Oreochromis niloticus: one gene and its partners. The main gene of each other region encodes a partner of the protein of the gene in region 2 in a complex. Links are inferred from orthologs where the notes say so. Each region holds a gene or a part of one and is shown on either strand. Other genes may lie near its edges.

Region 1 (7,474 bases), on a different chromosome or scaffold from region 2:
TTGAATGAACTGCAATATCAATTCACCGAGAAGTTAAAATCTTAATTTAATATCTTTATTTTGTCGTTGGTTGTTTACATTAGAGGGGAATGTGTTTTTTAAACTAATCCACAGTGTGGAGGTTTGTCGCTGAGCTTTGAGAACTGTAACAAAATAATGAGCTCAGATTTTCAACTCCCAGCCTCCCTCAGTGAATCGCTCAGGTGTCGAGGTTTCAGACGGATGATTTTGGAAAGTACTTCAGATGTGAATCTGGCCTAAATGTCACATCAGTGAGGATAAAGGAGAAAAATTATGAAACTGATGAATGAAAGGTATTATATGATCTGAAATTATTAACACTTAAAGTCAGTCAAAAGCACATTTCTCAATATTTCCAGGACTACAAATAAAGGAAACTCTATCAGAACACCTGAGGTCCTATAAGGTTTTTTTTTTCCTTAACTCTTGTGTGAAATAAACGACAAAATATCACCTTACAAGTCTGCAGGGGTACGAGCTGTTTCCATATACACCTCCTGTTTGTCAAGAACAAAAGGATCACATTATTAACTAGTGGGTTTAGTTACGAGCGAACAAACTTTTTCCACGTGTAATAAATTGTTCTTTTTCAATATACATTAAAGGTCTTTGTGTAATGTTATTATGGCTTGGATTTAAAATTATAAATCTATTTTTTTCACATTCATCTTTATTGGCTTATCTAGTCAAAATGCATGATCATGCAGGAGTGATAATTTTTCCCATAGAAGACCACAAATCGTATTAATTGTGTTCTCTTCATATTTGGGGGTGTGTGGGGGGGTGGTGGTGTCTAAAACGCTTAGACAAGCAAATTAATAAATAGAAAGAAAAGAAGACGTACGTATCGTGCCAAGTGCTTGGCAACCATATTGCCACATAACTGAGGATAAGTGGCTTCTTTCAGCATCGTGACTGAATCAAATAGTCACATTTGCTGTTTATCCTAATTAGAGCCATTTAGTTAATCTTCTAGAGAGGGAGCTGGAATGGAGATGAGCAACGAAAGAGCTGAATACCAAGTTTTATTAAAAAAAAACAACAAAAACCACACACACACACAACAAAAACACAAAAACTGTTGGAGCCCGCCCGACACTATACTTAATGTTGTGTAGGAACAACATTATTTCTTTTAGCCATGGAATTATGAGAGTGGGGAAGCTTTGTCTCCTTCCACTGAAGTGAGGCACTTTAATACTTTCCCTGTTGATGTAAATTCTTCTGGCACATAGAGCTCAAAGGAGGAGTTTGAGAGTTTTAGGGAGTAAATCAAAGAACGAGGATCAAATGAACATCTGCCACATTCATCGCTTGTGTTAAACAGGTTTTTGTAAATTAAAGTGTATTCTATGTAGAGTTTAAACTGAATTAAAGTCAGACTGGCATAAGATAAAGTGGATTTAACCCAATCAAGAGATCTCTGCCACCATCCATGTGACAAGTTGACATCCAATTCTTCTTTTCTCTATTCCTAACTGGCAGTGGTGATACAAAAATAATAATTTAAGATTAAAAAAATGTATACAGAAAGACCCATGACTCCTTTCACCTGTGATTCACTTTATCTATCCCCTCACTCGTACACACAGGTCACCAGATGTTCGAGAGGAGCGCCGTCCACCAACGGCTTTGCTGGGGAGCTCTCTACCTGCTGGCAGCAGGGGTGGCTTTGACATCTGAGACGCGTTGGCTGTGTCCGCCATCCTGCCACTGTAACGCTACGGCGCTGGAAGTGAACTGCTCTGGTGGCCAACTTACCAGAGTTCCTGATGGTCTCTCACAGGAAGCCAGGCTGCTAAACTTAACCCAAAACACACTCAAGACTTTGGTGCGTCAGCAGTTCCACACGCTGACACAGCTGTCGGACTTGGATTTAAGTGACAATCTTTTGGTAATAATTGAAGTGGAAGCCTTTCTTGGCTTGCAGAGTCTGAGAACTCTGCGCCTTTGTCGCAATCATCTGAAGATTATCCCAGTGGGAGCGTTTGCTGGCTTAACAAACCTCCAGTTACTGGACGTAAGCAGCAATCAGCTTCTTGTTTTCCTCGACTTTACTTTCAGTGAATTAAACGCCCTGCGGTTCATGAAAGCTGCAGATAATGACTTGGTTTATGTCTCTCATCAAGCTTTTACAGGACTAACCAGTCTGCAGGAGCTGCACCTTGATGGCTGCAACCTAACTGCTATGCCAGCAGAGGCGCTCACACAACTTAGCGTGCTGAGAAGCCTTAGTTTTCACCGACTGGGCCTCACTACGCTGCCAAACTACTCTTTCCGCCACCTAGTCCACCTAAAGGAACTTGTCATTTCTCATTGCCCCTGGCTGGAGAGTCTGTCAGGAAACAGTCTCTTTGGCTTAAACCTCACATCACTAACCATTAAACATGGCAACCTAAGTGCCTTTCCCTACATCCCTTTACATCACCTTGTATATCTCGTATACCTTGACCTTTCTTTTAACCCCATCACCTACATTCATGCAAACCTTCTTGGAGACTTGCTCCGGCTCCAAGAGTTACATCTTGTTGGGGGATCGCTGCTTAGGATTGAAATCGGAGCATTCAAGGGTTTGGCCCACTTCAGATTGCTGAATGCATCCAGAAACCATCTTACCACACTTGAGGTTGGAGCTTTTTATTCAGTGGACACCCTAAGAACTCTGGGGCTTGATAACAACCCACTGGCATGTGACTGCCGTTTGCTTTGGGTGGTGCAAAGGCGACTCTACATGGACTTTGGTGAAAGTCCGCCAACTTGCATTACCTCAGTCCAGCTGCAGGGCTGGAATTTTCTGGATTTCCCTGAGGCTGAGCTGCCGGATTTGCTCACCTGTCGGCCACCTCGAATTCTGAACCGCAAAGCTCAGGTGATGAAAGTAGATCAGGGACACACAGTGGTGTTTCACTGCAGTGCCGAAGGTGACCCTCTGCCATCTGTCAGATGGCTAAACCCACAGCTAAGATCTTTATCACCCATCGGCAGAGTACGAGCTCTGTCCAATGGCTCGCTGGAGGTTCGCTATGCTCAGCCTCAAGACAGTGGCAAGTATCTCTGCGTGGCATCAAACGCAGCGGGAAACGACAGCCTGCCCGTTAGCCTTCATGTCCAAACCTTTCCATCATCTTCTAAGAAACCATTTCGTCTTAAAGGTTGGTCTGCCTTTCCATCTGCTGCTCCAGGTGTGAATGGAAATCAGAAACTCCATTTTGATGTAAAGACGCTACTGATAGCAGCAACCATAGGGTTTCTCTCATTTTTCAGCTCTGTGAGTGTTTGTTTCATTTTCATGTTCTTCTGGAGTAAGGGCAAAGGTCAGATAAAACACACAGCCACGATCGCGTATGTGCCACGAAGCGCCATGTCGAGCAGTAATGGAGGGACAAGCAGCTATATGGAAACGGGGAGGTTTACCATGAAGCTGTTATGAGTCAATAAGCAAAGAATATATTCACCTGATATGAGTAGGTATCAGTGAATAAACTGCAAGATGCTTCAATTTATTTGTTTTTTGCTTGAATCTGATAATAATGAGCATGAAATCTTAATTAATAGTATTTTAAATTGCATTTAAGAAATGTGACCTGACAAACCATGATCATGTTTATCTTGAAACACAAAAAATAAGGAAATGAGGATAAAATAAATTAAAGAGTGAACTTAAAATAACAGTTACATTGGACTTCGGGTGGACTATTTGGACTGATGAGATATGGAGAATCTAACAATAGGGGTATTAACCTTATATTAAGGTTAATGTGCAGGTTATTGTGTAGCTTCTTTTCTGTAGCATGTTGTTTTTTCTTGATTAATTTCTGCACTGTTTATTATTTAATAAATGTGTGAAATGCAAGTTGGTTGTTTTTTTAAAAATTCTGCTATCCAAGAACTTGGAAAAATTAAAGTGATTATGCTTTCACAAATTTGGTGTACTTACTTAAAAATTTACAGCACTACAGCATCCAGTGAGGAGCAGCACACACAGCACTTGGTTTAATGCGTCTATATTTGAACTGCAAGGTTTAAAAAATCTCCATAAGCAGTTTTGTACTTACATTGTGGGCAAGTAGACCGTAATACTTAACTTACCTTCACCGGTGAGTGGAGCTGGCTGCAATAACTGACAACTAAAACGGTAAGGGGTGGATATAATTTTTAGTTCAGGCTAACAATAAACAAATATAATAAATAAATGCGTAATAAATAAATGACTTTAACAGTAGATAGAGACTGCTGAGTAGTGCAGTCATTATCGTGCTTACAAAAATTACAGAGTTGCCATGACAACGCATACGCACACATACCTCACAGTTTCCTGAAACAGTTATTCAATTTTTGAATAAAATATTTCCTAATAGAAGCTTCGCATTAACTGCGTAATTGATTATTTTTTTCCATGTCAAGCCAGACAACTAAAATAAACTGTTAGTCCGCCCGCTAGCCCGGAAGTAGATCAACAGTCCCGGATATGGTTGCTTGCTAAACGAGAGCTACCGGTCAGTTGTACATTTCATTTGTCAGTGTTTATCGCCTCTTATAAGAAAAATTATAAAGTATCCCTTGAATTTAAAAGGGTCTACAAATATGGGCACCTACATACAATTAAGCAAATATACTGAGTAACGACGAGGTCAAAGAGGTTCCCGCAAAACGATCTATATCTTTTAGCGTAACATAACGAGCTAAGTAGCTTAGCATTGATTAGCATAGTTTGGAAAGCACAATCATGAGCCTCGCAGTTGGCCGCGAACCCAGAAAGACTGCGGGAAACCGTATGTCCAAACTACTGGATGCTGAAGAAGAGGATGAGTTCTACAAGACCACTTACGGAGGGTTCAACGATGTGAGTAACCAAACTGATAAACACAGAGCGCGATAAAGAGTTAGCATTAGCCGGCTCCAGTGTTAATGACTAGAGCCTAAAAACAAAGTTTGTTCTGCGCGCAATACCTGAATTACCGCTTCTCGTTTTTAGGGAATTTGGTTCATGTCTATTTGCTGCCTGACAATGAAGCAAGCAGCCAACTCACTTTTATATTTATACATTTATATTATTTACAAATTAGTATAACGGAAGAATTTAGTTTCTGCCAGGCTACTGACCATGCACTAGTACAGGAGACATCTCTCACGATTTTGAGACTGACATGACTGGGAGTGGGTCTCACTGATATAAATCAGACTCTCACAGCATTACACGATCCAGACCTTTTAGACAAGCCAGCACGTCTTCACACGTTTATTTTAATATTAAATCCTAATGAGAGTATCATATATGGCAGGGCTGCTGCATTATACTTCAATACTTTTAAAGAGTTTGTCAGGAAACTCTTGACTAAAGGGTTATGTGCATGTAAACAGCAATTTTAAAAGCTATTCTAGTTTTATCAGGTTCTTGCTAGGGCAGATCAATTAAATGTATTTATTTATTTATTTTTATTAATTTGTTGGGGTTTATTGGATTTTGTATAAATCCAATAAAATAAATTAATTAATTAATTTAGCAGTAAAAAATAAATTTAGCAGTCCATCACTGAAAGCACTTACTTCCTCTCTACTAGGCTGAGGCTGTGGTTCAAAAGTGAATTAACTCTCACTGGTAATTGGGGAGTCATGTTTGATTGTGATTTTTAACAGTAACCATTCCTGCCATCATTTCCGTAGTGATGTTGAAAAACAATCTCATCAGATTTTGGATTTTGACAAGAGAGAAAACTGAGCTGAGTGTGAAAGCGAAGCTGTCGATTTTACCAGTCGATCTGTGTTCCTACCCTCGCTATGACCACGAGCTGTGGGCAAGAACGAGATTGCAAATGCAAGCGTCAGAAATCAGTTTCCTCCAAATGGTGTCTGGGCTTTAGAGAAAGAATGAGGAGTTCAGTGATTTCAGTATAGCGTCTACTTTACATATCAGAAGGAGCCGGTTGGGGTGGGTCAAGAATTGGATTATGATGCCTCCTAGGGGAGGTGTTTCGAGTGTGTATTAGCAGGAGGTGGCCCTGGAGCAGACCCGGTAGAGGGAGGTCTGGGGCTTCTCTACTAACACTGCTGCGCCTATTACCTGGACCTGGATTAGCAGCACAAAATGGAAAGATAAATGGAGAAAGCTCGTCATTAGGCTGGGGTTCTCAGATCTGAGAGTACAGTTTTGGAACTATAAGAGAAATGAGGTGAATTAAAAGGACACATCTAAAAATGAGTGTGTCTTGCCACTGTTCATTCGAAATGGTGACCATGGCTTAGTTTAGAGTTGGCCTTACAATTATAGTTTGAACACCAGCTGTAAACAGAGCCTAGATGATGCCAGCTTTTCCCGCTTCACGCTTGAAGAGAGAAGAAAGTTGTGTGATATTGTTTGTCAGAACATTTGATGCTGTAGCAATCTCACACGTTATGGCTTGCTTTTGAAGATGCTAATTTGTTTCCTCAATTTACAGTGTGGCTAATTTTCTTCAAACAGCTGCTGGTTCAGGGGCCACCTTGTGTAGGGGGATTTGGCACCGGCAGCTCTGGCAGTTCTGACAAGAGTGGCTTCATAAAAAAATCACAAACAGATCCTGAGATGCCTCAGTCATCTCTGCTGGGACTTTGATAAAGCACTGTGAACGTGCCTGTGTGTGCACACGCATCCTTTATCTGTGCAGTTTTCAGGGATATTTTTGTCTTGTGCTGCTTTCTAAATCTTTCCTGTCATTGGATGTTGGGTTTCAAAATGACCCACATTTGTTTTAATAAATTTGAAAATTCACATTGTTAGTGCGCATAATGCATTTGTGTTATTTTATTTATCTTTGCACCTGGTTTGGGCTTAAGGCTTGAGTTTGAGTTTTGCTTGAGTTTTGTGATGTAGCTTTGACAATGAGGGAAAACATCTTTAATAAAAATAAATAACCTGTTTATTATTAAATCTCTTAATGGGATGTGACTTTGAATACATTGCTACACACTTGCCAGATAGAAATGTGTGAGATTTTAATCAATAGGCCTGAAAACTACACTTAGAAAAAATGCAGGGGAAATTTGGTGTTTGCTGTTATGTCTCAGATTACTTGCAGATGGTTTGTTCTGTTGTTCTTTTCCTGATTTTATTTATTGCTCCTTTTTTTTGTCTTTCAGGAATCGGGAGATGATGAGTATCACGGAGAACATTCAGATACAGAGGACGAAGTTGACAGTGACTTCGACATCGATGAAGGTGACGAGCCGGACAGTGACCAGGAGGAGGACGCACCTCGGAGGAAAAGCCGGGTTGTCACCAAAGCTTACAAGGTACTGCAGGACCAATCAAACTTTGAGTTAAGCTGAATTCAATTGCCCTAATACCATGTGTCATCATGTATCACTTTGCTGCGGATTTGAAACACAAAGATGGAAACTATTTGGTTTTCCCTTAAAAAAAGAAAAAGGAAAAGTACTATTTAGCACCTTTCTTTTAATCCCTGTGTTGTCCTTC
Region 2 (7,058 bases):
CAGGTCCTGTAACAAGATCACCTACTGAACTTACCCAGCTTGCACCTTCTCTTTACTCAAACTGTCAATCATCTTGTTGCCCAAGTCATAGATCGTCTCCATCTCTGTAGTCTTTAGCGTCAACTTGCCCACCTTTGCACCCTGATCCAAGGCACAAAATTCTCAGTAAGTTATATGAAGTACAGTGTTTTATATCTACAACAGTGTTTACATGTTCATTTAACTACATGTGAAATCTATACTGTCTGTGACACTCGGGTTGGGCGACTGGATGAAAATATCGATTATTGACAACAGGCTGAGCCCATCGGCCCATCGGCGATCGTTTTCACACGGGTGATTTATTTATTTATTTGCCCGCCCATGAGTAAGTTTGCTAAGAATGATGGAGCTAATAGAAGCAGTCAACAGAAAAAAGATAACGGCACCCTCTTTCATCTGCGAGCAAACGCCCCCTCCTCAGAGTGCGCCCAGATGCTTGATGATGTAGCTGCAGAAGCTGCTGATAGCCTAGCATACTCAGCTGGACGGTGGACACGTACATGCTCATGCAAGTTAGCCGTGTTTGAGTACTTTGCTCGCACTATACGTCTGCACAAGCGCACACCGCTTTGGTTACATCCTCAGGTTTGCTGCTTTCATCTGGCTTAAAAATCCCAAATTGGCAACTTTATATTTTTTTAGTGCTGTCAGCGTTAATGCGCCATCGTCACGACTAACGCGATTAACAAGTAACCCATCAGTGCGCAGACTGAGTCAAAATCCCTGAAATGTCTCTGTCAACACATTTTGAGCAGTTTGTCCAAAGTTCGTTCATTCTGCGCTCCCGATGGGTTCAGCGTGTTAAAATTTTTAATCGCGTTAATCGTGATGACCGCGTTAACGCCACAGCCCTAATTTTTGGGAAATTAGTTCGTCCATGTTTGGACTTCTTCTGTGTTGTAAACGTGCAAATCAGTCCGTGCATGATTACATTGCTCCGCCCATCAAAAAGTCTGCGCATGCACGAATATGTCGCCCATCGTCGATTATTGGACTGACGATTGTCGGTTGGAAAATTTTTACATATCGCCCAACCCTAGTGTGACCAATAAAATACTTTCCAAAGAACCACATAAAAAGACTGGGTTAACTATATTATGAGTGTAAGCTGCTTACTGTTCCTGTGGCTGGTCTGTCAATCTGGATCTCGACCACCTCTCCTTCAATGATCTCCGTCTCCTCTCTGTTAAAAAACAAAAACAGTTAATAGCAGTTCTTTTCGTATAAGAAGATTTACCAAACCCTATTACAGCATTTGCTCACTCACTTGATCCTTACTCCGATGGCTTTTCTAAAAGCTTGGCTAAGTGCCTCAGTCTTGCTCATCTCCAGGGAGAAGATCTCACTACCAGCCAGTGCTGTAAAGGGTGTATCAGGGCCAAGAGACTGGGCGATGCCTGCATTGGAAAACCCCCCAAAATCAAAAACAAAGTCTCAGCCAAACCTACACTCTGCCAATCAAGCTAGGAGCAACAAAAATGTACCCTAAGCCAATTCCATCAATCCAAGAAACCAATATCTTCTAACTGGGGCTGATATTATGTTCTGGAAAGCTTCCAGTGGAGCTCTTACCCATAGCAATTGCAGTCTTTCCTGTGCCAGGCTGGCCAGCAATCAGTACTGCCCTGCCAGCAATGTGGCCATCTTTGATCATCTCCAAGATGACTCCTGCAGCTCGACGGGAGGCCAGCTGGCCAACCATCCCCTGAGACACCTGGAATTGAACATAGACATGTAAAAGGCACATCTCCTCTACACAGACACAGAATATTTAAGTCACAAATCTATTACATGCCCCTTAAGAAAGAGAGGAAAAGGGAATTAAAGCTACCTGTCTTGGCTCCAAAGCATCATCCAAACCAAGGCCACGAATGTGAGAATGTGCACCTAAACACAAGGTGAAAACAGATAAAATAATGTGAGTCACAGGAAGTGAAAAAACTCTCAAGAATCAGGTACCATGTGCACCTATCACAGCACTATCACACAGTAACCAATCATGTGTTTCCGGGTCTCAGTCCTACCAATTCTCTCGATTCGTGTGATGTCACGAACCTCTGGAACCTTTGTAGTTGCCATCTGTATTAAAAGCAGAGAAATCATTCATTAGTCACTATAAAGTGATCCTGCCCGCTTTCCTACCACTACTTTTAAATTTAAAAACATGCATTATTAGACAGAGTATTCAGAGTATCCCACTCTATGTCAGAATGTCAAACAATAGATAAATAAAAAAAATATTCGATCCAGCAAGAGGTTCAAATATTTCTACTGACGTTTTAACGACATACAACCCAGTCACCATTAAATAAATGTTAAAAAACAAAACACTTTGGTGATAAGACTACCACAACATTAGATTGTCAAACAATTAACACTTTAAAGAGCCCGTCCTGGTCAGGTGGTTGTCATAGTGACAGAGTTGAGCGCATGCCACAACAGAGTAAGAACAGTGTTAGCATTACGTTAGCCTAGTTTCTAAGGCTTTTTATTCTTCGTATTTTCACTTTTTCATATAAGCAACGGAAAGCTCGGGTATCGCCATTACACAGATTTAATAACGTGGTACACCAAAGCCACAAATCTAGTTTGGCGCCAAGTAAACAGAGCAAGGACAGTGACAAGTAATGCTAACACCAGCTAATGTTATGTTAGCAAATTAGCTAGCTCCATTCAAAGCTTTCTTCTTTGAGTAACTCCTGCTTAGCAAGACGAAGACGCGATGTTCAACAGAACACGAAAGGATGATCTTACAGGACACATCCTGTAACACCACAGTGTGAAAGCCTGGAGTTAGCACTGTTTATATTGATCGCATGAACACTCACCTGTGCAGCCACACTTACGAAAATGTGAGAATGCGGCGCTTCTTTCTGATTGTGCGCAGATTAAAAGCGTCCGTACAGAAACCGCTTCTTTTATTTCTTTTTCCTGCTAGGGGATGTTTGGGTTGACTGCCCTCTATGGGCTCGATGGTAAAATGACAGCACGAGCTTGTGACTTACAGGGAGTGGCAGGAAACCTTACCGGTGTCTTGATGCATTCTCAATCATCCAGGAAAGTAAATCTCCAAAAGTTGAATCTGTTCATCTGGACGTAGCGTTTGGTGGGAGAAAAGTTTCGTCACTCATCCAAGTGACTTCTTCAGTCTCAGCTGACTGCAGGTTTCCCCAAACCTTATAAACAGTACATTTGCATAATGACTGAACCCAGCCCACTAAAGGAACAATGGGCTGTGAGGTCAGTTCCTTAATCATAATTGTGCAAATTCCCATGACCATTGATCAACAATCACTGGCCATCTTACAATGCTGTGATTGCAGCCATTCCCCAACTCTCTGTGAATGGTACTCATGGCCATTGATCAGTGTTCTTTGATCAGTGGGTTCTGGTCAGTGATTGTTGATCAATGGTCATGGGAATTTGCACAATTATGATTAAGGAACTGACCTCACAGCCCATTGTTCCTTCAGTGGGCTGGTTTCAGTCATTATGCAAATGTACTGTTGATAAGGTTTGGGGAAACCTGCAGTCAGCTGAGACTGAAGAAGTCACTTGGATGAGTGACGAAACGTTTCTCCCACCAAACGCTACGTCCAGATGAACAGATTCAACTTTTGGAGATTTACCGGTGTCCTGGATTATATTTTGGACATTTTAATCCGTGAAGCCCGTTTCAGTCCAGAGTGGTTAAACTGTGTGCTAGGCTCCCTTTAACTCCCTTTTCACATTTTACCTTTTCTTCTCGCAACAAAATAGCCCGTCCGTGGAAATCTTTAATATTTACTGGTATAATGTAGAATGTAGAAATGTCAATGTCATACTGTACGTAAGCTGGACCAGCCAAGGAAGCATTTTGCACTGTTTTAGTTACTGTTTGCACACGTTAACAGCGGAAGCTTTCACTTCAGTCACCAGCCACGATAAAAAAAAAAAACCTGCTCAAACTTGGTACTGCAGACGTTTGTCCACCAGAGGTGGCAAGACCCCCGAGTTGTATTAAAGGTTTAAGAATTTCAAATTTGAAGCCAAAGTTTTTGCAGAGTGGTATTGATGACCGCAGCAAGCCGGATAAACGTTTGCTACCACCAACCTCAACTTTCTACAGGCTCCGCTTCATTCATCTTATTGTGCATAAAAGCCTCTCTCATTTTTTAAACTGAGAAATATTATAATCCAAACTATGGAGATGAGTTTGAGATTTTTATTGTCATCTTTGTCTCAAGCTGAGCTTCATATTTGCAAAAAGTAATTTTAAAAGCTTAAAAAATCAAGACTGCAGTATTATTGAACAATGGGAAAGCTTGCCTGCTGATTATAATCTTAAGGTTTCTGGAGGGGTTTTCATATCCTCTCCACTAGACCGCTCAAGCTTCACCTCAAGGCCCAGGCTTAAGATTCCACAAACTGAAGTCGCTTTATTTAAACATCACAGCAGAGCGACTGCTGCATGGTAAAAGGGCAAACCTCGGATTGGATGCAGTTTTATCATCTACGCTGATCAAGTAGAACTCAAGTAGTAAATTTTGCAGCTCCTGAGTCGCTACACTAACTCAGAACTTTTTAATGAAGAACTTGACGATACATTAGGACTCAGTCATACTTCCATTCAGCATAACGAGCCTTAAGCGTCACAGAAACCTCTCAGTTACACCTCGCCTGTTCCTGTAGAGTTCCCTGCTGACCTCTCAGCTGCTTTCCAAAACACTGTGCTTTAAGCACACACAAACACACCATCTCCTACTAGTCCACACGCAAAGCTGGGTCTATTTTACATTTGCTTATGAAATAATTGCACTCTGAGTGATGTTGCTAATGGCAGGAAATGTCTGACTTTTAAAGATCTTACAGATCTGGCTTAGAGCTGATTAGCTTGAAGAGTGAGTTAGGAAGCTCGTCATCATAGAAGAAATGAGAGAAAAAAAATCCACATCACAGCTCATGCTTGTTACCAAAAGTTTATTTGATAAAAAAAAGCATAATATCACAAATGGTCATCACATTGTACAAGGTTCATTATTTTGAATTATAGTGTAAATATGCATATACTATATTATTTCTGAATTAGTAAATGCTCATTGACTTTCTACAACTAATTTTACACTGAACACATGTTGATTTGCTGAATATTTGCTCATCAAGCATCGTTTCCCCCATCAGCACATATTGGATAGCAAACAAAACAACGATCTAATATTAGAAAAAAAAGGGGGGGGGGAACAAAAGCATATTTTCTCACAACAGTACTCGTCATCCACACCCACTGATCTTTGGATATGTGTTACTTAATCACAGCTGGATAATGGTAATGGCTGACTCATACCAAACCCAGAAGCCTGGATAGACAGGTTCACTAAAGGAGGCCTTAAAGCGGTGGATTAGAGACATGGTTTCCCCAACAGTGTAGAATGAGAGAGTACCCCCGGCGTGATCCAGGAAAACGCCGATGCGGGAGGAGTAGGGCGCGTTGACCTCTTGCTGGTCCTTGTTGTGGCGGGCTGAGTAACTGGAATCAGAGCAGAAAAGGCTCCATGACTTGCGGTTGTAGCCGATGCGGCAGCTGTCACCGTAGCCCGTTCTCTTGATGCCTTTGTAGGCGATGCCGATGGAAGCCCCCTCCCCACTCCAGTCTACCTCCCAGTAGTAGGTGCCTCCAGAGAGGGGCTCCTTACACAAGACCTGGGGCAGGGAGTCGAACCTGGCAGGGCTGTCAGGGTAGGACTGGGGGTCTCTCTTGAGGGCAGCTTTTCTGTTCCCTCGTGACAAGTAAAGCTGTCTGTAGGCTGTGTTTTGGTCAAGGGTGAGCTGGCAAGCATCTAAAGATGGGTGGAAGATAAGTTCATTATTTACTCAACAAGAGGAAGTGCTTAACTTAAATCACTCTGGGATAAATGTAAAAGAGGAAAGCAAAGAAAGCCAAAGCATCTGTCCTACAGCAGCTGAAGCACCCCACTCCAATGCAGCAGCAGAACGTCATCAACATCTCAGTTAAACTTCTACTCACTGCGGTAGAAGTTTAATTAGCTTCTGCAAAACACGCTTTGAAGAAAAAGCAAGAGACCCTCTGGCTGGACACAGAAATCAGAATAGTCACCTGACTGCTGTGTATCTCCACCTCTGCAGGTCACAGTTGGTGAGACACCCGATGCCCTCGGCTAGATCTGCCCGGCCTATGATCTGGAATGCCAGAGGTATCAAACACTGTTTGTGAGTTTGACCACAAACAGAATTCCAGCTAGCAAAGACCTTTTTTAGCTGTGAGGCGAGTCAGTGACTGTGCAGTTTTTCCCCTGCTGAGATTTTGAGCCCCCAACGATTTCTGTTGAAAGCTGGATTAACCTCCTGAGACTCTGTGTCCTCATATGGGGACATTACATTTAGACTTACACTTCATCTTACTCAATAAATGTTTAATACTCTGTTAATAATGACCATAAAACTATATTGTGTTATGCTGGAAAACAAACCCACTGTCTCTCTATTGAGGACATACTTTTTAATATATTTATATATTAAAAAAAACCCTTTCTATTCAAAAGCGATGCTTCTTTTTTTTAAACTAATCAGCTTCAAGAAAATTTGGAGAAATTAAAAATGCATCCCAAACGAGAGCTCGGGTTGCAGGAGGTTAAAATGCAGCTTAAGTAAAAATGACATAGCTGTGCAATATTTGCAGTGAATCAGTCCCAACCTCTGTCAACACTGTAGGACAAACAGCAGCTTCTAAGAGCAGATTTAGTGGTCAGCCACAGGGTCTGACAGAGAACCCATCTAATTTGCGTCATGCAGTGAACTGAGCAGCGAGAACAGTGAACTGTGTGGATCAGAGGAGACTCACATCTCAGGAAGTCCTCCCTGTACTGAGGCTCCTTGACTGGCATAGACTTGTACATGGGAGCTTCGTCACCTGTGAGAGGAAACACACAGAAAATCAGACAGAGCTGTGTGTCAGCAGTTTTTTAATGTGCTGCAGCTGAACAGCTAATATGTGTGCAGGAGGTAATGTTCCTGTTCAC
Region 3 (7,635 bases), on a different chromosome or scaffold from region 2:
GATAGTGACAATGCTCTCAGACTGCAGGATAAGTAACTCCTTGTGGTTTTTTAGTGGCTCTTCAAGGCTCTTTCTGCCATCTAGTGGCGGCTGTGTGGAATAACTGAGGGTTCCTCAGATTTCTACATGTTAAAGCCGTTTAAGCCTAAATGTGCACCTTTACCATTCTGTGATCACCTGAGTGACACCTGAAGGAAACCTTTACTCACCAGGTCATAGATCTGATTGGCCAGCTGGACTTTCTCATCTGCATCTTCCAGAGCTTTGTAGTAATCCTAAGAACACACGCAGGTTTAACCCAAGATCCACACACACACGCACAGAAACAAGAAGAATCCGCCACCTCTGACCTTTTTAATGACCTCCATCTGCTCCTCCCTCCACTCTGGTTTGTTCTTCTTGGCGTTTACAAAGAACTCAATGACCTTCTGCTCCAGCTGATCCGTGGCATCTGAAGGAACAAACAGGAAACAACGTGAGAAAATGCAGCACTCAGCATTTTAACATCACGTGTGTAAAGTCTGAGTGCGGCCCTCCCTCAGGTGTTTCCTCTCTGGTGAACTGCAGACTTATTCTGAGCCTGGAGATCACCTTTGGACTGTAGCTGTAATGAAATCAGAGCTGAGGACTCACCTGGCCCACACTCCCTCATGTGATTTGTTTCTGAGTGTTTCCTGCCAGCTGAAACCTGCAGCAGTGAGTGTGCCATGTGTGGATAATATTTGTCAGATTTTGTTGATTACTGATTGGATATGCTCTCTGACCTGACCTGCTTCAATGGTGCAGTATAAATAAAGTTTGATTTTAACTTTATTTCTCCAGCTCTCACTCAGTGAGTGCTCCTGTTATGTCACAGATCTGTGTCTCTGAACCAATGTGATTAAAACTGAAGTGGTTTCATCATCACTTTAAAGTTATATAGAGTCTGTGCATTTTTAAGACCAACTGAAAACGCCCACGGACCGAGGCTGACAACTTCACACAGCTCAGTCTGCTGATCCTAAAGACCAATAAATAACCTGAAAACCACCAGGATCTAATATAAGAGCAGAATTATGCTCTAATGAAAATGAAAAAAATTGTGTAAAAAGCATTTGCAGCAACAAAACCATAGTATTCCAGAAACACGCTTTGCTAATTACGATGAGCGCATCCGCCATTACCTACCTGAAACCAGAAGTGGCATCATCTTCGCGGAAAATGTAGTTTTTTTTTCCTATAGGGCATTTACAAAGATATGCTGGTGGTTTTAAAATTCATGTTTATGGCTTTCTGTACAGTTTCTGGGATGCTTAGAACTCAAATTACACTGCTGGAAATAGTTTATGTTGATGCACATGCTGTTTTTTGCAAATTTGCATTACAATATTTACTTTTGTTTTTCCTACAGTATATAAAAATTTGTGTATGTCAAAAATAAAACTATGAATACACTCAAAATAAATTTCCTGTGGTTGGAAACTATTTTGTGCAACTTTTTTGCATTTACAGTTTTGAGGGATATACCCCTGAAATTTCTCTAACTAGAAATATGTGTAAAAAAACAACAACAAAAAAACAAAAACAATTGTACATTCTTTTGTAGTTTATTGCACTTTTTTGCAATTCATGTAGTTACTATAGCAACTTGAAATACTCACAAAAAATGGCACTACAGCATCTAAAAATATGAAGATAAGCTCTGGCAGACTTGGTTTTATGGTAGGTCTTAAAGGGTTAATATCCTGAGGTTTAAACAGATAGAAAAATGACAGCAAAGTGTCCAGCAATACTGGACCTGTATTTATTTGGTATTGGATCAATACTGAAATCTGCAGTATCACACAGCACTAGCGCCCAGCACAGGCTCATTCAGAGTATCCCTAACACTGATTTATTATTACACCTTTCAGAGTCGCGTTTATAACACTGTTACAACATTGTTCTTTTTTTTCTGGCTGCACACACAAACGTTTAGAAAGTGGTTTAATTTATCTAAGTCTAAGTCCAATTAAATTTGTGTCAGTGATTGAAACAAAATATTTTAGAGGAAATGATTACTATTTTAATAATCCTTCATTTTAAATTTCAGTTCAAAATTAATTTTGTTCAGCAACTTAATTTACCAAAACATATTTTACTAAAACCTTTTTTTTTTTAAATTTAAACTTAACCCCCCCCCAAATATTTACAGAAATCCTGTTAAATAATCTCAGTTTAGACCAAATATAACTGATTATTTTTTTTATTTATAAAGTGTTAAAATGATGATCAGGACCTCATGTGAGCGTCTAACAGCGATAATCATTTTAAAGTTGCTTTATTAGCAACTTTACTTTTCATGTGCATGAATGTGAACTTTCGGATCGGCAGTGTTAAAGGGGAGGGGTCCCTGTAGGTAGGTGAATGTGACCCTGCAGGTGGATGCTGTGCTGCAGTCTCATGCTGGTATCTACTGGGTTTCAGCCCGTTAGCCGCCTGTGCTAACATGTGCTAATTAAGTAAGCGCAGCTCGGGCGTTCATCGGCGCCGGGACGCGACTCTGTTGCTTGGACAGTCCCAGCAGGGCTGCCACTATGTGTGCATTCCGCAGCACGCGTGTCCCCGGTGTGGTGTGGCCGGTGTGTGGCGCCGTTGGCGGCGGGGTTGTACGTACTCTGAACCTGCAGGTCCATCTCCCTCATTTCCGTAAACCTGTCGCGGAGATCCATGGGTAGCTGCTCGATCACTGCCAGGAGAAGAAAAGGCGGTTACCTGCTAGCACGGCTAGGCTAACTGCCGGAGCCGACCTAGCCGGTAAATAACACATATTTAACGCGCAGCAGAGCCCTGTCACACCGCCGCCGCTTCGTTGCAGTCCCATACTCACTCTCCAGGTAGTCCTCCAGGTACAGCATCGTGTTTAATTTAAGCTTTCAGCCGTTTTCTCCGACAATTCTCTGCTTTCAATATGGCGCCGCCTGCCAACGTCTGCCCAGAAAAAATACCCAGAAAAAAGGAGGTCATGGATGCTGACGCAAACGTCTGCCTGCGCTCTGATTGGTTCAAATACAGGCAGGCGTTGACAGGACAGATGCATCATGGGAATTGTATTTGTATTTACATTTATTTACGTCTTTTAGGCAGTACAGTAATCCTTTATTTATTTATTTATTTGCAAATAAAAAGCAAGAGGGTTGTTTTTCTCAAGCCTTGTAAAATATTTCATTTCGACTGCACATTTACACAAAGCTTTGGGACATTTTTTTACCTGAAAAATTGCATTAATGACCAGCTGAAAATTATATTTACTTTTCTACAAAAATATGTGGACAGAAACAACTAAAGAGATAGTAAGAATATATCCATCTCACCACCATTTCTGTTCAGATATGTTTGTTCATGTATTAAATATTAGATTTGTGCGTTGTGGTACTAATTTAACACATTTAAAGTATGTGGACAAACAGTATAAGCTGTATGGTAACTTCTGTCCACATTCGCTTGTGTTTTCACACATGTTCGGCTGTTAATTAAACATATCCCACTTCATGTGACTATAATTATTCATGAACCGAGCAGCGATTCTATTTTAATGATCATATATTAATTATAAGTTCTTATCATTGATTTTAATAACTTTAAAATGAGTGTACATGTTAGTCTATATACTTTTGGGTATATATATTGTTTTAGATTAGTGTTATAAGAACCATCCATTTACCATTTAGATAGCCAATCACATGCATTCACATAATTTTGATCACAAGTGTGAGCAGAAAAACAAACAGGCAGCCTAAATGGCCAAAATTATGTAGACACAAACGATATGTCTTACTGTATTTCCGTGGAAGTTTATGTCCACATACTTTTGTCATACATTTTTCTTTCTACGTCTTTATGTTCAGTGTCCGGCAGTCCCGTGTGTAACACAATAATATATGTGCAAATAGTCAGAAAGTATGTGGAAAATAATTACAAGGTAGCCTAAAATAAGTGTCCACATAATTTCGGGACAAAAAGTGCTGCTGCAAAGAGTTTATGACCAGAACTATGTGGACAAACACTCCAAGCGCTGTGTGTTTCCTGCAGCTTCATCCTCTCAATCTCGGCCTGCTGACCCCACGGCTGTGCGGCTGGAGGCGGACACATTCCTCTGTCCTCCCCCCGGACGCTGTGAGGGAGGAGGCGGAGCTGCTGCTGCTTTAATTAGTGAAGAAGGAGCAGCAGGAGGAGCAGAGGAGCGGACGGTTCGGATTGTTACGCAGCAGACTGCCGGAGCTCTGTGTGTGTGTGTGTGTGTGTGTGTGTGTCCGTGTATTTTGTGACAGTCTGGATCTGTGCGGAGGTGTGCGGACAGCGGTGACCGGTTCGGAGCGTGCGCAGTGAGGACCACCTGCTGCTGGTCACCGAGCGGGCCAGGGCGCGCGGGGACGGAATGCGGGTTTCACGCACGGAGCACGCGCAGTTCCTGAGCGCTCCGTGCTGTGTGAGTGCAGCGAGCATGTTGCCATGGTGCCCCGGGCTCAGATGAGCGGCACGCGGAGGAGCTCCGGTCGGGATGGCTCGCGAGGACGCAGTGAGGTGTCTGCGCTGCCTGCTGTACGCGCTCAACCTGCTGTTCTGGGTGAGAGGAGCGGGCACGCGCACGACTACAAGAGTGTAATTGCCCTTTAATGATCAGTGTGTTAGAGTCATTATACTAAAGCAGTCAAACAATGCAGTATTTTACTGTAGTAACTGTAGGTACTGTGTTTAGTGGCAGTTCTGTGCATAAAGTACTGTGTGTCTAGTAGTAGTTCTTTGTCTGGAGTACTGTGTTTAGTGGTAGTTCTGTGTACAGAGTGCTGTGTTTAGTGGTAATTCTGTGTACATAGTACTGTGTTTAGTGGTAATTCTGTGTACAGAATACTGTGTTTAGTGGTAATTCTGTGTAGAGAGTACTGTTTAGTGGTAGTTCTGTGTACAGGGACAGGCAGTGCTGGGGTGAAGCAGGCCGGGTGTTCCTCGCTGCCTGCTTCACATTCTCAGATGTTATTATAGGCAGCAGAAACATATCCATGTGTTTATTTCTGTGTGTCCAGCTGATGTCAGCATGTGTGCTGGGAGTGGCGGCGTGGATCCGTGACTCTCTCAACACCGTTCTCACCCTGACGGCCCACACCAGGTGAGTCTGGCCGGGCTTGCAGCTCAGGTATGAGAGCCAACCAGGTGACAGCACCTGAAAGTTTTAATCAGCTTTATCTGACACACCTTGTCTCTGATAGATGATCCAGATGTGAACTAAACAGCTGCTTTTGTGAAGCTCAGAGCATGGAGGCTAATTCATGTGTGTGTGTGTATATGCAGGTTGGAGGAAGCTGCCGTCCTCACGTACTCTCCAGCTGTTCACCCCGTCATTGTTGCCGTGTGCTGCTTTCTCATCATCGTGGCAATGGTGGGGTACTGCGGCACGCTCAGGTGTGACCTGCTGCTGCTCTCCTGGGTACGAATGCTCACATCAGACACTTCAGACAGGATCTTTACTTTAACCAAAGACGACATTTATCTCAGATTTTACAATCAGAAGCAGGAAGTCCACGTCCTGGATTCAGCTGGCATTGAGCAGGAAACAGTCTCTGAGTGGTCTGACACATTGGGAAAAGCACAGATGAAGTCTCTGTTGTGAATCAGCCAGCAGAGGAAACATTGTTAGCTGCTCTGACTGTTGGTCAGTGTGTTACCTGTATGTTTGCATGACTGTTGATCAGTGTGTTAGCTGTGACAGGTCTACACTGAGACTGATGTCATGACACAAGCGCCCGCGGCTCCCGCCTTCCTGTGATGGGGTTGGCATTTTGCGTACACAGTGAAGTGGGAACATCAGAAACCTGGAGCTGATGTCTCTGAACCTGAAGCCCTATGAGCACTGAGGCAGACTCACCTAAGCTTCATCATAATGACACACTCCTCAGGTAGACTGAGCTCTTATCAATTGGTTCTGCTGCAGCCTATCAGAGCATCATCTGCTCACCAGCTGCTAAACAAGGTGAAGAGGTCAGCCTCTACCTCCACACGCTCCACCCGCCTCACACACCTGCATATGGGAGGATTGAGCTCAGTCCAGAGTCCACCACTGTCAGCAGGTGTGCAGGTGTATGATGTCACACACAGCCCACTCTGGACTCTCAGGTAGAGCTCACAGAGGTCACACTGTCCACCCAACTGTGTGTTTGAACTACACCACCTGTTTGCTGTGCTCTGATTGGGCAGGGCCAGGTGTTGGGTGCCCCATTGTTCCCAACAGGTGATAAGATTGTCTCCGAAAGATGAGCTGCTGAGAGGAGCTTCAGTCTGCTACAGGGACTACCCCAGGGCATGATGGGAACCCGCTCAGCCAGTTCCAACACACACACCTCAGTTAGTTGTGAGATTACATAACAGTAGATGTCACTCATGTTTGTGAGTGAGTAGGTTATTCAGGTGGACAAGGAGATAAAACCAGCTTCAGACATCACACATTACTGTGCTGCTCAGAGTTTAGAGCTGCAGACGCCTCGGGGCTGTCACTGAGGGAGGGGACGACGTCGGCTTCACGGCTTTCTGACAGAAAGGTTTTAGGTTGATTATCAGACTAAACTCGTCTCCGCCTGTGTTTCAGTACTTCGGCAGTCTGTTGGTGATCTTCTGTGTGGAGCTGGCCAGTGCTGTGTGGACCTACGAGGAGGTGAGAACATTGAAAGCTTTGAGTCCCTGAACGTGTCATGTAGTCAGACGTGAATGTGTTTAACCAACAAACCATCAGAGCAGGTAAAATTATAATCATGTTTCATAACTGAGCCTCTGTTCATGTGAAATTCTGCAGCTTTTTCTCACTGACTGATCGTCATGGCAACAAGTTTGTCAGTACGGAGTTATGGTGGTGTCGCACACATGCAAGTGTTTCTGTCCTAAACGGATCATTTCTCGCCTCATGCACCGGCTGGACTCCCGGCTTGTCTCTAATAATAATCAGGAATCTCAGACTTATCCGGCTCCTCTTTCAGCGCTGTCACGACACGCCCGTCACCTCACACCCACCTGCAAAGTACTTTAATACATCTACTCCAGTACTGCAGGGTACATTACCTGCAGTAGTTCGTAGGTCAGTGAGTGTCAGACTCACGCTAACGATAACAAAATAAATATTGAAGGCTTGCTCCTCTGGGAGAGCTCAGAGAGCCTTGAGCAGCGCTTCCTGACTCGTTGCTTACAGCCTGAGCTTTTCCTGCTGATTTCTCAAAGTTCTCAAAGTTTCAGGTGATCTTCAAACTTTATAAACAACAAACTAAAGAAAAAATCTGATTGGCTCAATCAGATTTTAGGGGTGACAGAATATGTTCTTTAGTTTGTTGTTTATAAAGTTTCATTTTGAATGCTGTCTTTGAAGCACAACAGTTTGAGCCAGCCTTTGAACTCTGACCTCAGGCTCATCTTTTATCTCTGGATCAGCTGCCTGCAGGGGGTTGTGGGTATCGTAGTGAAGTTTTTTTTTTCTTTATCAGTCGAGCAGACACTCACACATGGACCTCAGGTTGGTCCCTGTTTGGGGGGTTGCAGTAAAAACCTGAAGTTCTGAGTGTGTGAGGCCTCAGGCTCACTGTAGTGTGTTTTGGGTTTGTTGTGTGGAAAGTGGCTGGAATTCTTGCAGTACAGAGG
Region 4 (6,704 bases), on a different chromosome or scaffold from region 2:
ATTATTGCACTGGGTAAAGTAGTATAAGCAGGAGATGGTCACTCATTTCCTGCTTATTTATAGGCATGAGAAACGTTTATTCAAGGCTGGATTTCCAAGAGGAATCAAAGAGCAGATGCCTGAGTTGGATCTGTCCAAAGGTCGCAAAACTGCTCCAAAGCACAATGCTACATTCAATGATACAGTTTAACCTGAGCAGAAATATAAAACCAGAAATTTACTGTGCATCTAAGATGTAATCTGGTTCATAACCTCTTTAAATCTAACATTTGAGTTGTCTGTGATTCAAAATGTTAATTCATGATTTTAAAAGTTGCTAACTAGAAGCAAGTTTTTTTTAACTTTCTGGAAGCTGTGTAATTTGTTATTAATCTTATCATCTTATCCTTGTTATTACGAGCACCTTCCACTTAGAAGAAATGTGAATAAGATATTAATTTACTGGGTTATCTGTGTCCTGCTTAGGATTATATAAATACAATGCTCTCAATGGACTTTCCACCTTTTTGGAACACACAATGGAAAAGTTAATAATAGATGAACGGTAGTGCTAAAATAATAAACATTACAATTTCCATTTCCTGAAAATGTGCTTACTTAGCATCTGATAAGAGGTTAAAGATGTTTATACATTTTTTTGCATGCTCCATTAAAACCACTGACACTGATCTTCTCGTTATGATCCAATGTTCTGCTGGGACACCTGACTCCCGGCTTTCATTTAGATATTACTTAGACAAGCACTGTCCACCTAAAATGTGTTGCAGACTAACTCTGCACTTGTATGGAAATAGTACCCGCTGCGAGTCTGTGGTCTCCTCCCACAGGACAATGTGTACTCCTGCACCTTAAAACAACTCGAGGAACATAACAAAGATGTCGTACCTACATGTGGCTCTTTTGTCCTTATACTGCGGCTCCGGGTGGTTTGGGAAAATAAATTAGAAGTTTTTAGCTGAAGTGTATTTTATTTGTGTTTAAATAAAGGTCTAAATTGGAAGATTATTGTGATATTGAAATATAAAAATAAAATTATATTTTATTATTTTTCATCGCTCAAAATAAGCGTCACACTCGCGGAAGCCGGTATACCCGCCGAAACGCCGTGCATTTATCGAGACTTTCAACCCCAGGTAGGCCAATTATGGATCTTCGGATCCACATTATGTCAGCAGCTATTCTCCACCGTGAACTATGTTAAAAACAAACACCGCTCACACCTCACAGACGACAGCTTAGTTCTGCTTAAAGATGAAAGTGACTTCGTACAGCCCCGATTTGCAGACGCTGTGCGCAGAGGTTCAGGAGCAGAAGTTCCATTGTAAACATACTACGGCAAACCCGCTGCTTTTCAGCATCTCTTTATTGACCACTTTTCACACACGGTTGCTGTACGCATACAGCCGGCTGCAGCTTTTCAGCTCACAGCCCGACAACACAAGAGCAGAGAGCACAGACTTTAAGGCTGCGAGGCGTGATTGCGGGTGCAGCTCAGGTGCGTCCGACTCCCATGCAGCGGCACTGCAGACCACGCCCCGCCACACACATTAACCAGATAAAATGCATATTTAGGCAGAATTTTGCAAATATCTATTTTTCATTTTTTAGCAGCATAGTGCTTTTTTTCCAATTATTTTTTAAAAGTCAGGTCAAGGCTCCAAAAGCCCAAAGGTGGTATAAGGGAGGCGGCTCACAACAGTTTTTGTTTGCTACATGGATCATTTTAGTTCAGCTGGGTGTCCTTCCTTTTGTTAAATTTCTTTAAGAGTTCAAAATGTGTTAATTACATAAATAAAATGTAATTTTCTCTGTAGCACTTCATGGATTTCATAAGGAACACACTTAAGCTGTTCACACAAAGCATAAAGGTAAAAAAAACAATATATACAGTGTTATCTTCATTTTAGATGTCAAAACGTATTTGCGGCTCCCAGTGTTTTCTTTTGCGTGGAAACCGGGTCCAAATGGCTCTTTGGGTGTTAAAGGTTGCAGACCCCTGAGATAGACCAAAACTGTTTTTTGTAGCAGGTTGTAAACTTGTTTATTTCTGCTGTAGAGTTGGGAGTCTATGCGACTTGACTAATTTGTTGAGGAAGTCTCAAGTGGCCACTAGAGGAACTACAGTTTTTGGCCCCAGAGCACCACCCAGCATTCCAGAAGACCCAAAGGGGATCCCCCTGAAGATGCCACCCCCCGGGAGGTCCTGTGTTTAAGAATACTTTGGTGGTTTTAATGTTGAGTTTTACCATGATAACTGGTAATTACTAACAAATCCACTAATTTACAGACACAAAGAGAATCAGTGCAGCTTCTTTTAGCCCAGGTTCCTTCCAGTGGAATAATCCAGCCCTAAATTTAACTCTTAATGTGTGATCCAAGCAGGTTGGAGGTTGGGTTATTTTAGGACGAAGCTCTGTGAATGCACATGAAAACAAATGCAGTGCATATGCACTCTGTGCTGTCTCATTGCATGAGGGAGCAAAACTGACAGCGACAGGTAACATAAGCACGTATTTTGAGCCAGGTGATGACAATAGGCGCTTCAGTTCCTTTGTGATCTTTTTCAGAGCGCTCAACCGTCTCAAAGCCTGCACACACTGAGCCGCTACAAACAGATTACCAGCTCCACTATTAGTGGGCCGCTGTGTCAGGTAGCTGTCATCAGCGGTCAGGCGGCTGCTCTGTCATTTTGTGGCCATGTGACCTGCAGGTACGTCTGTTCCTGAAGGGATTCCGGGATGTGCAACAACAAGCTCTGTTTACATCGGCTAAATTTGTACTCCCTGGATAAAAATATGAGGATGACCTGCCTCTTGTGGCCCAAAGTTGTCTCACATTTACCAGCCGCAGCTAAAGAAGGGATCCAGGTGCAAGATGGGAAATCTCTTATTCATCTATTCTTTATGCTTCTCCTCTTTTTTGTGCTCTGTTGCAATGAAGGTATTAAAGAACAGCTCAGTCATATTTCAATAAAGTCTGATAAAATCCGAATACCCGAGGCCTGGCTCTTGAGGTCTCAAGGTCACAACACCTGATACAGAAAGATGACCAACCATCTGAGTGACCAAAGAAACAATGGTCGTAATCACCGTTTTGGGAGCACAACAGGGCTGTGGTCAGTTTAGTTTTTGTGGATATAAGGCCAAAGAGTTTTATATGTGCCTGACAACTCCACCACAGAACAATAAACATCAAAGGTCACAGTCTGGCCGGCTGTGACAGCCTGCGGCCGCCGTTCCTAAAATGACAGCCCTCGCTTTCAGGGAATGAGACTGCAAACATCTGACAGCTGTTTCCGATCAATAAGGCATTGCAGCTGAGTGGGCAGTGAACCAACGTGAGGCTTCAGGCAGGTGTGTTTGTCAAGTTTAAAAGGTGCTTGACCAGCTGCAGGAGCAAGAAATCAGCACTGGTGTCACTGAGGGGGTTTCGTTTTTATCAGCAGTGGAGTTATGCATGAGCTCAGACTGTTACAGCAGCTTTTCACTGCTCTAAGGAAGATCGGCCCACTGCTTTGGTTTGATTTCAGATTGCACTGGAGACTCCTAATGGCTTTGATGGTCCATAACGACAGTAATAAATATTTGGCCCAAATGTCATTAGGATGAGTCTAGCTACCCCAGCAGAGCCACAGGTTCACCTTTATAGACCGAATGTCAGGTGTGCTGTGGCATCGAGCCCACCCGACATCTGCAGTAACCCAGAGCTTGTGATGTGTGATCTGCATATTTGGTAACTGAAGATGTCCAGATTAGACCCAAGTGTGTCTGCTGTGTGGGGCAGGTTGACATCTGTGGTTCTAATTGAGAGAAAAGTGACAGTCATACCTAGACCTCACTTTCCCCGGGCACATTCTCCAGCTTTTTTAGGGGGGTCTAAGCCTGCTGAGAGACATCATCGCTCCTTCATGACCTATTGAAGGGTTTCCTACCAGTAAAAAAAATGCCTAAAACACCTCACCTGGGAGGAATCCAGGAGGCATCCTGGACATACATCACCTGAACCACCTCAGTAGGCTCCAAATAAGGCTGACTTTGATAAAAGTCTAATGAAATGAACATCGATAGACAGCCATGTTTAAGTGAATAAAAGGACTTTGGCTTATTTTGAAACTCTGACTGGTCTTGGTGCACATTAAAATAATGTTAATTGGATAATGCTTCACGTTAAGTCCCCAAATAAATGCCAGGAGTTTCAGGCTGACTACCTTTGGTGGTTGAAGAAAGTCTTGGAAGCTTGTGGTGACCCATTGATGTATATGGTGCATCCAAGTGCATTGTGGGATGGCAAACATGGCATGAAGAAACATATAAAAAACATAAATAAATAAAAGAAGGAATCATATCATATTTAACTGGTTTGCTCTGGTAAAAAAAAAAAAAGAAAAGAAAAAGTTAAAAAAAAAATAGACCATGTACAAATTAATATCTGTATTTTTTGATACAGATGAATGATACAGTTGAATGGCTGTATTACCGCCCACCAGCAGGAGGCAGTAGAGTTCAAACTGTGTAAACCTTCAGCACCCGGAAAAGCTTCCTTCTGGTTAGACACATGAGTTTACTCTGAACCGGGTTCGATTTTATTAGTAAAATCTCTGGACAGTTTTTCCTACGTTTCTTCGCACTATCATGTCTTCAAAAGGCTGCAGCAGTGACGAGCAGTTTGAAGGACAGGCCGCAGTAAAAGAAGAGCTGAACAAGAAGGTAGCGTTAGCCCAAACATGCTAATATGGCTAATGTGGCTGTAACAGACCACAGGATGTCTCCCAAATACATAGGTTTTTGGTTATTTTCGTTATGTATAATTATTCTGCCGCTTCTGTTAGCTTTATGTGTCTTAACAGATTCAGATAGTGTAGTTTTTATCGGTGAAACTTTCCGTGTTGCCAATTTACAGATTAAAGAGCAGAAGGTGCTTGTGGACGAGCTCTGCAATCTGAAGAAAAACAGGGTGAGTGGAGGAAGTGGAAAAGTCTCAAAATTTATTAGATCACATCATTATCTGTGCAGTTATGATGGGAAACACGCAAATCACATCCCTATGTTGTCAGGCTGGTGCAGTCATGTGTTTTGAGAGTGTAAATGTGGGTTAATGCAGATTGTTTCCCCCCTCAGAAAGTCTACATCCAGCAGAGGAACAGTAACATCTTCTTCGTAGGAGACAGAAGTCAGACACTCACTTCCTGCAAAAGTAAGATGAGAGAAGTGTCTCTGGTTGAGAGGTGAAAACTTCCGTGTTGGAAGTAAAGATGAACAAAAATTCTAAAAAAATTTTTTAACTGAGAGTTTTTTTTCTGAAAAATGTGATACATCATGTGACAAACAGGGTAGATTCCAGATTAAGATGCAAAAAACAGATTTATCCCGCTTTGTTTATTTTTTAACATCCATCCATCCATCCATCCAATCGTTTTCTGCTGCTATCCAGGATAGTGGGAGACTGGGGGCAGTAATCTAAGCAGAGAAGGCCAGACCTCCCTTCCCTAAAGACCTCCACTTGCTAATTTGGAAGAAGACCAAGGTGTTTCCAGGCCAGCTGAGAGATGTGATCTCTCCAGTTTGTCCTGTATCTATCCCAGGGCTTCCTCTTATAAGGACATGCCCAGAACATCTCGTCCAGTCCAGAGTTGTTCTGATCAAAACTCCATTAGATTTTCAAGAATATGTCGATCAAACTTCAGGCGTCGTTATCAAGACAAGCTAAAGATTGAAAAGTCACCGGCATCACTGTGGGGGTGTTTCTGAGCCGCATTGTTTATTTTAGGTTTATGCATCAGAAACTGCTCAATAAAGGACTTTATTCAGACGTAGGTTTGAGAAATATTTGCAGTGAGGTAAAAACAAACACTGGAAATGTTGGAAAGTCTTGTTACTCTTGGTTGTGTCAGTGCCCGGCTGTTTTTCTGTTCTGTCTTTGCCGGCTTTTCCTGTATTTACTCATTTTGAATTTGATGCCAGTGAAGTTGGGAACGGGGTCCCCGTTTTTAAAAAAAAAAAAATTAAACACTCAGCAGCGTGTTTTATGCTATAATAGGACTGTAGTGAAGGCTCTTATGGCTTATGTAACTAGTGCATTGTTCTGTTTGCAGAGGAGCTCGATTATATGAAAAAGGAACTTCAGGATATCTGAGGCCACAGCAACGCCGCGATGTGTGGGATCTTCTGTGCGCTGAGTCTGGCGTCCGCTCACTCTCAGTGGAACCAAAGAGTTTATGAACATTTAAAAAGGAGAGGGCCCAATTCGAGCCGGGACCTCACCATCACAGACTCAGATCTCAGCTATCGCTGTTTATTCTCTGCTCACGTTCTTCACATGAGAGGTCTTCTCACTGCTCAGCCGCTTCAAGACAACGCTGGAAACATCCTGCTGTGGAATGGAGAGATTTTCAGTGGCCTGCCGGTGACGCCAGAGGAGAACGACACCGCGGTTGTAGCTCAGCGGCTATCATCCTGCAATGCCCCTTCAGAGATTCTCGCTGTCCTGTCTGCTATTCGTGGACCTTGGGGGTTTGTTTACTACCAGAAGGCAGGAGACTACCTGTGGTTTGGCCGAGATTTCTTTGGTAGGCGGAGCTTATTATGGACATTTGACGCAGAGGCCGGTGAACTGACTCTAACTTCTGTGGCTGCTCACACTTCTGGTCCCAAACAGTGCGTGTGGCAGGAAGTCCCGGTAGCTGGTGTGTTCAGGGTTAACCTCAA

The links.
Region 1: the proteins of ruvbl2 (region 2) and vps72a are in contact, whole or in part, in a cryo-EM structure (PDB 9CA9), measured with the Homo sapiens proteins. The link is inferred for Oreochromis niloticus from reciprocal best matches to the Homo sapiens genes RUVBL2 and VPS72. Residues at the interface, in NP_006657.1 of Homo sapiens: Glu141, Val142, Val143, Glu144, Ile145, Gln146, Ile147, Asp148, Arg149, Pro150, Ala151, Thr152, Val187, Gln188, Ala189, Gly190, Arg207, Phe209, Thr210, Arg211, Ala212, Asp214, Tyr215; in NP_005988.1 of Homo sapiens: Pro210, Ile211, Ile212, Thr213, Tyr214, His215, Ser216, Val217, Thr218, Arg260, Cys261, Ser262, Arg263, Thr264, Thr273, Glu276, Trp277.
Region 3: ruvbl2 (region 2) and ing3 share a complex: the UniProt entries of both Homo sapiens proteins name them as parts of the SWR1-like complex. The link is inferred for Oreochromis niloticus from reciprocal best matches to the Homo sapiens genes RUVBL2 and ING3.
Region 4: ruvbl2 (region 2) and asdurf share a complex: the UniProt entries of both Homo sapiens proteins name them as parts of the PAQosome complex. The link is inferred for Oreochromis niloticus from reciprocal best matches to the Homo sapiens genes RUVBL2 and ASDURF.

The regions. Positions count from the first base shown.
Region 1 is NC_031985.2:19,712,443-19,719,916, reverse strand, and holds the start of vps72a (vacuolar protein sorting 72 homolog a), read left to right. Parts: upstream 1-4,464; 5' UTR 4,465-4,747; coding exon 4,748-4,864; intron 4,865-7,137; coding exon 7,138-7,290; intron 7,291-7,474. Other genes in the region: leucine-rich repeat and immunoglobulin-like domain-containing nogo receptor-interacting protein 1, read left to right, coding at 1,622-3,451. UniProt on the Homo sapiens protein: Deposition-and-exchange histone chaperone specific for H2AZ1, specifically chaperones H2AZ1 and deposits it into nucleosomes.
Region 2 is NC_031975.2:1,309,775-1,316,832, forward strand, and holds the start of ruvbl2 (ruvB-like 2), read right to left. Parts: upstream 3,011-7,058; 5' UTR 2,871-3,010; intron 2,427-2,870; exon of another isoform or gene 2,319-2,426; intron 2,122-2,318; coding exon 2,067-2,121; intron 1,930-2,066; coding exon 1,874-1,929; intron 1,757-1,873; coding exon 1,615-1,756; intron 1,440-1,614; coding exon 1,310-1,439; intron 1,226-1,309; coding exon 1,159-1,225; intron 142-1,158; coding exon 35-141; intron 1-34. Other genes in the region: ftr83 (finTRIM family, member 83), read right to left, coding at 5,332-5,858, 6,881-6,949. UniProt on the Homo sapiens protein: Possesses single-stranded DNA-stimulated ATPase and ATP-dependent DNA helicase (5' to 3') activity; hexamerization is thought to be critical for ATP hydrolysis and adjacent subunits in the ring-like structure contribute to the ATPase activity.
Region 3 is NC_031981.2:23,000,074-23,007,708, reverse strand, and holds the start of ing3 (inhibitor of growth protein 3), read right to left. Parts: upstream 3,009-7,635; 5' UTR 2,877-3,008; coding exon 2,849-2,876; intron 2,708-2,848; coding exon 2,636-2,707; intron 452-2,635; coding exon 351-451; intron 276-350; coding exon 210-275; intron 1-209. Other genes in the region: tspan12 (tetraspanin-12), read left to right, coding at 4,471-4,620, 5,043-5,125, 5,308-5,443, 6,599-6,664. UniProt on the Homo sapiens protein: Component of the NuA4 histone acetyltransferase (HAT) complex which is involved in transcriptional activation of select genes principally by acetylation of nucleosomal histones H4 and H2A.
Region 4 is NC_031987.2:6,963,845-6,970,548, reverse strand, and holds asdurf (ASDURF protein), read left to right. Parts: upstream 1-4,499; 5' UTR 4,500-4,631; coding exon 4,632-4,706; intron 4,707-4,899; coding exon 4,900-4,953; intron 4,954-5,117; coding exon 5,118-5,193; intron 5,194-6,091; coding exon 6,092-6,132; 3' UTR 6,133-6,150; downstream 6,151-6,704. Other genes in the region: asnsd1 (asparagine synthetase domain-containing protein 1), read left to right, coding at 6,151-6,704.